2 linked regions of the Nothobranchius furzeri genome follow. The protein of the gene in region 2 purifies or fractionates together with the protein of the main gene of each other region. This does not show direct contact. Links are inferred from orthologs where the notes say so. Each region holds a gene or a part of one and is shown on either strand. Other genes may lie near its edges.

What was found.
Region 1: the proteins of smc2 (region 2) and ncapg2 purify together in Homo sapiens (affinity purification with western blotting; 4 studies listed by BioGRID and IntAct, with this or other methods). This does not show direct contact. The link is inferred for Nothobranchius furzeri from reciprocal best matches to the Homo sapiens genes SMC2 and NCAPG2.

What each region holds. Positions count from the first base shown.
Region 1 is NC_091747.1:47,249,440-47,253,680, reverse strand, and holds the start of ncapg2 (condensin-2 complex subunit G2), read right to left. Parts: upstream 2,828-4,241; 5' UTR 2,743-2,827; intron 2,517-2,742; 5' UTR 2,512-2,516; coding exon 2,434-2,511; intron 1,630-2,433; coding exon 1,462-1,629; intron 1,331-1,461; coding exon 1,216-1,330; intron 1,048-1,215; coding exon 890-1,047; intron 815-889; coding exon 683-814; intron 613-682; coding exon 518-612; intron 438-517; coding exon 281-437; intron 211-280; coding exon 118-210; intron 45-117; coding exon 1-44. UniProt on the Homo sapiens protein: Regulatory subunit of the condensin-2 complex, a complex which establishes mitotic chromosome architecture and is involved in physical rigidity of the chromatid axis.
Region 2 is NC_091747.1:76,181,246-76,185,059, reverse strand, and holds part of smc2 (structural maintenance of chromosomes protein 2), read right to left. Parts: intron 2,633-3,814; coding exon 2,494-2,632; intron 2,414-2,493; coding exon 2,294-2,413; intron 2,215-2,293; coding exon 2,010-2,214; intron 1,903-2,009; coding exon 1,767-1,902; intron 323-1,766; coding exon 198-322; intron 115-197; coding exon 1-114. UniProt on the Homo sapiens protein: Central component of the condensin complex, a complex required for conversion of interphase chromatin into mitotic-like condense chromosomes.

The sequences.
Region 1 (4,241 bases), about 29 Mb from region 2:
GTGAAAAGCAAGGTGGCGTTTGCGCGTACCTCAAAGTTTGGAACCTGAACAAATCAAGCAGACGTCAGAAAACAAACTCACCTTAAATCAGTACAAACTGTGTTTATGTCGGCATACGCTCAGAGCTTTCCAGAGTATCGGCTTGTACAGATCAAACAGCATCTTGTCCACGCTGTGGCAGCCCTTCCTGGAGTGAAAGTAGCTCATAATCTACAAGAACGAACAGAAAGTTAGACGTGAATGAGGGTTAAGCGTTTAAAAAGCTTATTTAACATCCTACCTGTCGGACTTTGGAGTGAACAGGAGATGCTCGATGGAGAACGATGGCGTTCTGCATAAAGTCCTGAATGCAGGAGTTCTCGATCTTTTCCAGGAAGGCCCCGCTAGCTTTCTTCCAAGCTCTGAAGTAGATCTCTGAAATCTGAGAGATCATGCCTCTGGAAAAAAGGGGAAAATCAGACGAAATCGAAGTAGATTGTAAACCCAATAGAAGCTGAGACTAACTTAGGCTTCATACTTGTTGTAAAACTGGAGCTGGTTCTTGATGGTTCCATGAATAACCCAGATGAAATCCACATTCCAGCTGAAAAGAAACACAAGGAATCGCTTTCCCTGTGAAGATAAACACATCATCAGGACAGATCATGGACAGAGGCAGGCGACCCTAATCCGCTCGACTCACGTCGTCGTTTCTGATGTACGTAGGATGCTGGACGCACTGGAGCAGCAGGTCGGTGAGCTGCTTGTTGTCCAACTCGTAATCCAGAGTCAGGAGCACTTTGTGGAGACTCCACACTCGCTGGATCTCAGCCCCCTGAAAACAAAAACGAGCTGCAAATGAAATCAGGTCTCAGGAGGAATGGGAAATGTGAAAGCAGGATGAACGAACCGGTTTCTGTAAGGTGAAGCTCTTCTGCAGAGAGATGAGAAAGGTCACATGGCCAAACTTCTCTCTCTCCTGCAGCCCTTTCTTCCACCACGCCTCAAACAGAGTTTGTATGTGGAGCTGCAAATGAGCTTGCGACTCGGGGAGTGACACCAAAACATCTGATAGGAGAGACAAAACAAAAACCCCAGAAAGATGGAGCTAATGTTGATTCAACTGGATTTAGGATTATCTAAGCGCGATCGGGGGGGGAGATGTTTCTTAAAACTCCCAATTAATTTGTTAAATCTGAATATGTTAGACTGGATTAAGTTTTTAAAAACACTCACCATGAAGCCTGTGGGCAATCTGCAAAAGTGCGTCGTAGGTGTCACCGTCTTGTAAAACCTTCAGGGACGTCGTAGCCACTAACGTCACACCGTCCACAACAGCTACGACTTGTTTCTGTAGGAAAGGTTTTGGGGAAAATATCTAAAACTAAGATCTCCCCAAAAGGTTTTTCACACTCTATAGCCATAGCTTCCTAGATCAAAGCCTGCTATCAGGAATCTCCTGCTACGACTGAACAGACTCACGGGATCCGGAGCCGACTCCTGCTGCATGTGCTCCTCCCAGCGCTGTGGAGGTAACTCCAGCAAGACGTCCTGCAGGAGGGTCTCCAGCCTCCTCCACAGAGCCAGCCTCTGCTCTCTGGACATCTCCTGCACCACCTCCTCCACATCAAAGGGCTCCGTTTTGTCCTTCTGCTCAGAAAGACGCACAGATTTATTATCTCAGCCACAGATTTCCTGGAAGCACATACCCAGAAAGCCTCCATGTTTACAAAAAGCGTCCCCGCCTTGGCCTGATGTTGTATTAAAGATCGTTGGAGGTATTTAATTTCATCAAAATATTTGAATATTTTGAGACTTAAAGACACAATATTTTAAAACTAATAACTAAATGAACTGCAGATAAATGGACGTTCAAGCTCCTTCGTTTATTAAGACCCTGTTTACCAAATGATGTACTTTGGTCCCTGGATGGAGGCTTATCTCCTCTTTATCCCATTGAACGAGCTCAGAATTTGGTTTGTGAGGAGGACATCATCATTTTTGCCCAAATAAAAACTTTCCTTTATTGGCGTAAACTCAGATGAACCGGATTCATCCCCCTAACAAAGCCCCAACGGACCCAGGCTACTGCAGATGTCTCATTTTGTATCAAATAGAAATCAATTGTGTGTATTATGGGATGTTGTGCAACAAAAATGCAAATAAGGTAGGACTTTAAATCCAATTAGACGACAATAATTTGTAGTTTTACTGTGAAAAATCAATAAAAACACACTTAACACTAGAAATGTCTATTTAATTTCGCTATTTTAAATTATACAATTTTTAAAATAAAAAAACAGGTTTTTTTTCAACTAAAGCAACTTTTATGCGTTTGTTTCTTGCGTCTATGTCCAGAATTTAACTTATTATTTTAATAATTCTTATAACACGAGTCATGAAATCGCCGAGCAAACAAAACACCATCTTTGTTAATGAACAGTAGCTACTTACATGAAGCTGAATAAAACGAAGGAAGTCCTCCACGTTTTCCTTGCAGACGCCGTCTAAAAACGCTTCTCGCTTGGACATGATTCCTGGTTCCAAAGTGACCCAAAACGTAGAAGAAAGTCCAGAAACATTAGTTTCTGCTTCCAGCAGATTCTATTACTATACCAAAACCAAAACAAACATGGCTGCCCGTGAAACGTTAGCAAAAAATGCTTTTTACTCATTTAAAACACCACACTTATCAAAAATCGTCGAAAAAAGTAATACAATGATGAAAAACGAGGAATAAAACCCATTCACGCGATCGATTACCTTTTAATTAATGTTTTCAGGATTCACGACAGGGATATGGCATTCTACTGCCGCAGCTGCATACCCGCGCAAATTTGGATGGAAAGTTTACGTGCTGACGTTAAAACGTTCCTGACGCTGCCTTCGCTACTGTCCCGACAACACTAACCACTTGATGGCGACAAAACACCACAAATAAAACCTCTGTCTGTATGACATCTGTGATGGTCTTCACCACAGACATCATAGACGCCCCGTGGACTGGAGAAGGCTGTGGGTTTGAGTCCTAAGTGGCCCCAAAACTATGTCAGCAAATAGAAAGGTAAGCGCAAAAATTTGAGTTAGTTGGTGTTTGTGTTGATGCTGATTTATGGAGCTAACCCTCCCTCTACAGCTCTGACAGAACCCTGCCCTCCTCTCCCAATGATTGGACAGGAATTCGAGAAACGTGATTGGTAGCTAAGACTCATGCTCTCATTGGTTCCACCCAAGTTCCTCCCACTGACGCTAGAATAGAGACAAAAAGATCTGCTGTAGATTTGAGGTTTGTACCTGTATAATGAAATGTGTGTTTTGAGAGTTTTGATTTCAAACTTGTACCTTGATTTTTTTCAATTTGGAAGTCTGCTAGTTACAAAACGAAAGTTTCATGTTTCTGAATGAATGTTTGATGTTACAAAATGAGTAGTAAATGTACAAAATAAAAGTTTGATTTTACAAAATAAAAAAGACATGTACAAAATGAAAATTTCCTGTTACAAAACAAGAAATACAAGTACAAATTGAGAATTACAAGTTAGAAAACTAAAGTTACAAGTTACAAATCCAAAGTTACATGTGATGAAGTTCGAAGTTACAAAACTTGGTACAAGTTACGCTGAATATTGTCCCAATCCTAGCTCCATACTGATTGTAGATGCAGCCACCTCCATTCCACACATGGAGACATGACTTGACGTGGATGCAGAGGATGGACGGGCGGGTGGATGCCTCCCTTCCTGATTAATATCCGACTGAAGTAGCAATGCATTCAAATTATTGTTTTTAATTTAGCTGTTTTTTATTTGTAATTGTATGTTGCCCGCAGGCATCTATTGTCCTATTTGTATAGCACCTTCTTAGGGTTGTAAAAATAAATAAACACTATTGAAAACAGATCACTTGAGATTACTATTGACCTTTCTAACCTACCAGTTGGTGTTTCATATTTGTATTTATATTATTAAATTATATTCATATTTCTAATTAACAGGTCATACCACATGTCTGGCTTGTGAAAATGCATCATAAATGTGTTTTAGTTGGGTATGCACCTTCCTCAGTAGATACAAATCCACTAGGGGTGAATGGGGACCCATCCAAGATGGCGGCCAGCTGCTACGCTAGCTCCAATAGACAGCACCAGTCCACGGGGCGTCTATGTATAATGTCTATGGTCCTCACAAATACCATTTATACATGGTTTATACGTTTTTTGACTGGAAGAAATTTTTAATATCTGTCCAAGAAATATTCAAAAA
Region 2 (3,814 bases):
GCTCCTTCTCCCTCTCAGCCTCGGCGTTTCTCATTTTGTTCTCCAGCACCTTGTATTTCTCCTCGGCCCGCTTCTGGACCTCTTTGGTGACTCGTAAGGTCTCTTCGCTCTCCTCTGGTCAGACAAACACACACACATTTCTTTAGCACAAAACCATCCAGAGTATTTCAGCCAAGGAGAAAACTTTGAGCGCTAACCGATGGCTTTGCGAAGCCTCTCCAGCTCCTCTTGCTGCTGGTGGAAGGAGCTCTGCTGCACTTTAGCCAGCAGGATCTGTTCCTCCTCCGCTTTGAGCTCGTGCTCCTGCTTCAGCTGTCGGTACCTGCAGGGAGCGCATTATGACGGAGAGAGAGGATTACATTAAAGAGAGGTGATCATCTTATTTTACAATTTAAATAAAAGTGAAGCGTCTTTGGTTGAATCTTCTCAACAACGTTATGTGCCGCCTCGTGCAATATTATCAGACCTCACAGCATCTGTGATGGGGGTGACTCCCAGCTTACTAACTTACCAGCTTGCTTCTCACACCAAACCTTCTGTCAGGAATCTTGGTGGGACCTTTGACCCAGCTCTCACCCTGGATTCTCATGTCAGTTCTCTTGTTCGCTCTTCCTTCTTGCATCTCAGGAACATTGCTAAGCTGAGTCCCATTCTGTCCCGCTCTGAACTTGAGACAGTTCTCCACACCTTCATCTCCTCACGCTTAGACTACTGTAACTCTCTTTTCACGTGTCTGAGCAGAACCTCCCTGAACCGTCTACAGGTGGTTCAGAATGCCTGTGCTCGGCTTCTGACCAAGTCCTCCAAACACACCCACATCACCCCGCTTCTCCTCCAGCTTCACTGGCTGCCAGTCAACTTCAGGGTTCATGTCAAGATCCTGGTTCTGGTCTATAGGGCCTTACATGGACAAGCACCATCTTACATTGGTGATCTTCTTAGTCCCTACACCCCCAGCAGGTCCCTGAGGTCCAGTGATCAAAGCCTACTGGTTGTGCAGCACCAGGCTAAAGATTAAAGGTGACAGATCATCTGCTGCTGTGGCCCCCAGACTCTGGAGCTCTCTCCCCCTGAGCCTGAGATCAGTGGACTCAGTGGTCTCCTTTAAAAAGCAGCTGAAGACTCACTTGTTCAAGCTGGCTTTTGTATGACCTTCTTCACCTCTCTCTCTCTATTCTGCTCCTCCCACCTATTCCACCTTCCTCAGGATCCACTGATCTCCCTCTTTCCTATTCACTCTCTCTTTCTTTACATTTTTTCTTTTAAATCCCAATTGCCTATTCTTGCTCATTTTAAATATATTTTTAAACATTTTCTAAATGCTTTTTTTATATTTTAACATTTTTTTGTTTTTGTGAAGCGCCTCGTGATTTTTATCTTGAGAGGCGCTATAGAAATGATATTTTCGGGTGGGATGGAGGGGATTCTTGGGGTGGGGAAGGGGGTTGATGTATTTTGTTCTGTTTTAATCTGAAATTCATAATAAACATATTTGAAAAAAAAAAAGAAATGATATTTTCTTCTTCTTACGCACCGCATTTACAGTCAAAATCTGTAAACCTGACGCGAGTTGTAGCAGCTCGTGTGTTTGGTCAGCCGAGGCGACCGTCTAAATCTGCGTCGACTCCAAAAGTGAATCAGTCATAGATCCGTTAATTACGTCCTAAAAGTTTAATTTTCTAGGGGCTCGCGAGGTATTTTTGTACACACGCACACGCACACACACACACACCAAAAACATTGTCCCTTTCAGATATTCAGCGTACTTCTCAGCGGTTCCCTTAAGGCGGGCCAGTTCCTGCTCTGTTCCCTGGAGTTGAGCCTCTTTGTTGTTCAGGTTGTCCTGAACGTCCTTTACCTCCTGCAGGCTGGACAGAACCGACGCAGACTGAGAGCGAGCACCTGGACGACAAAACAGAGGAGTTGTTTTTACAGATGCACGTGAAGAAATACAAATCTGACCAACTAGAACTCTAAACATCATCTCTCCGCCATTTCGTCGTTCTCACCTCCACTCAGAGTTCCCTGTGGGTCGAAGATGTCCCCTCCAAGGGTAACCGTCTTGGTCAGCACCTGCTTATCAAAAGCCACTTTTTTGGCGTTGTCCAAAGTGTCACAAACCAGCGTGGAGCCAAACACGTACTCCATGGCTTTACGCAGGTCAGACTCATAGCCAACGAGAGACAGAGCCGTGTGAACGTTATCAGCGCCAACCTGGTAGAAGAAAACAAACGATAGATTAGAGCATAGATTAGATAATCCCAGATTTCTCCGCTCACGCCAGTTGTCCCACCAGTTTCTTTGCTGTGGTGATGACTTTGTCATTGAGCGTCTTGGCAGAGATCTTGTTCAGGGGGATGATGGTGTACCGCCGCTGCAGCTCCCCTTTCTCCAGCAGCTTTTTACCCGTCACCTACAGAAAAAACCCAAATCGGAGTCAACCCCCAGCTCACACAGGGGCTCATCGTGACGCCGCATCAAACACAATCCCACCTCAGTGTCGACAACGATGTTATAGAGCCGTCCGCCTGCCACCACCTCCAGAGCCGTGGCGTAAGTGACGTCGCTGACGGAGATCAGGTTAGCGAGCAGACCTTTCACCTTAGCGCGGTCCCACCCTTGCTCTGGATCTCTGAGACAGCAGGCAGACATAAACGAACACTCAGCCACCTCTCACTGACATTCTCGTGCAAAGCCTAATCTCTGGTGATAACATAGTAATTTTAGAAAAATGAAGAACAACCCAAAACCCAGGAAATGGCCTTCTAAAGGACTTTTCCCAATGCAAGTAAAGTCTCTTCACATCTCTCTGCAAACAATCAGATTCACCTCTCCCTAAAAAAAGATGTTTACATGTAAATAAATGATGTAAATGCATGGATGGAACTGAACTTCATGAGGTTTAATCTGACATCTTCATCTCTTCTACCAGGTTGGCGCTGATAACGTTCACACGGCTCTGTCTCTCGTTGGCTATGAGTCTGACCTGCGTAAAGCCATGGAGTACGTGTTTGGCTCCACGCTGGTTTGTGACACTTTGGACAACGCCAAAAAAGTGGCTTTTGATAAGCAGGTGTCCATGCTGTCGAGAGCCCACCTGGAGCGGGTACTGCATGCCTTTGTTATTTCTAGGCTTGATTATTGCAGCTCTCTCTATGCAGGGTTGTGTCAGTCATCACTGCGTCGCCTACAGGTTGTGCAGAACAGCACAGCCAGGTTCCTGACTGGGACCAGGAAACTGGACCACATCAGTCCGGTTCTGGCCTCCTTGCACTGGCTTCCGGTTTGCTATCGTTCACAATTCAGACTCCTCGTCTTTGTTTTTAATTTCTTCCAGGGTGGTGCTCCCCCCTATCTGGCCTCACTCCTGAACAGACATTCCCCATCACGCGCTCTGCGCTCCTCTGACCAAGGCCTGCTCGCTGTCCCTCGTTCTAGGTGTCGTACCCGTGGGGACCGGGCTTTCTCAGTCCTAGCACCGTCACTCTGGAACCAGCTGCCACCCTCAGTTAGGCTGTCCCCATCTCTGCCAGTCTTCAAGAGTCGCCTAAAAACACACCTCCTCCGCTTGGCGTTTCCTGAATGTATTTGAGTTAGGCCGTCATTTATGTTGATTTTATCTCAGTTTTCATTGGTTCAATTTTTCCCTTGTTTTACACATTTGTATTCTACTAGAATGTTTCACCTTTTTTGTAATTTGTAATTTGAATTGCTTTTATTTTCTGATTTATTCACTTTATTTAACTTTGTACTGTTCCATATTCAGCGCCTTGAGCTTCCTGACAGGGTTGCGGAAGGCGCTTTGTAAATAAAG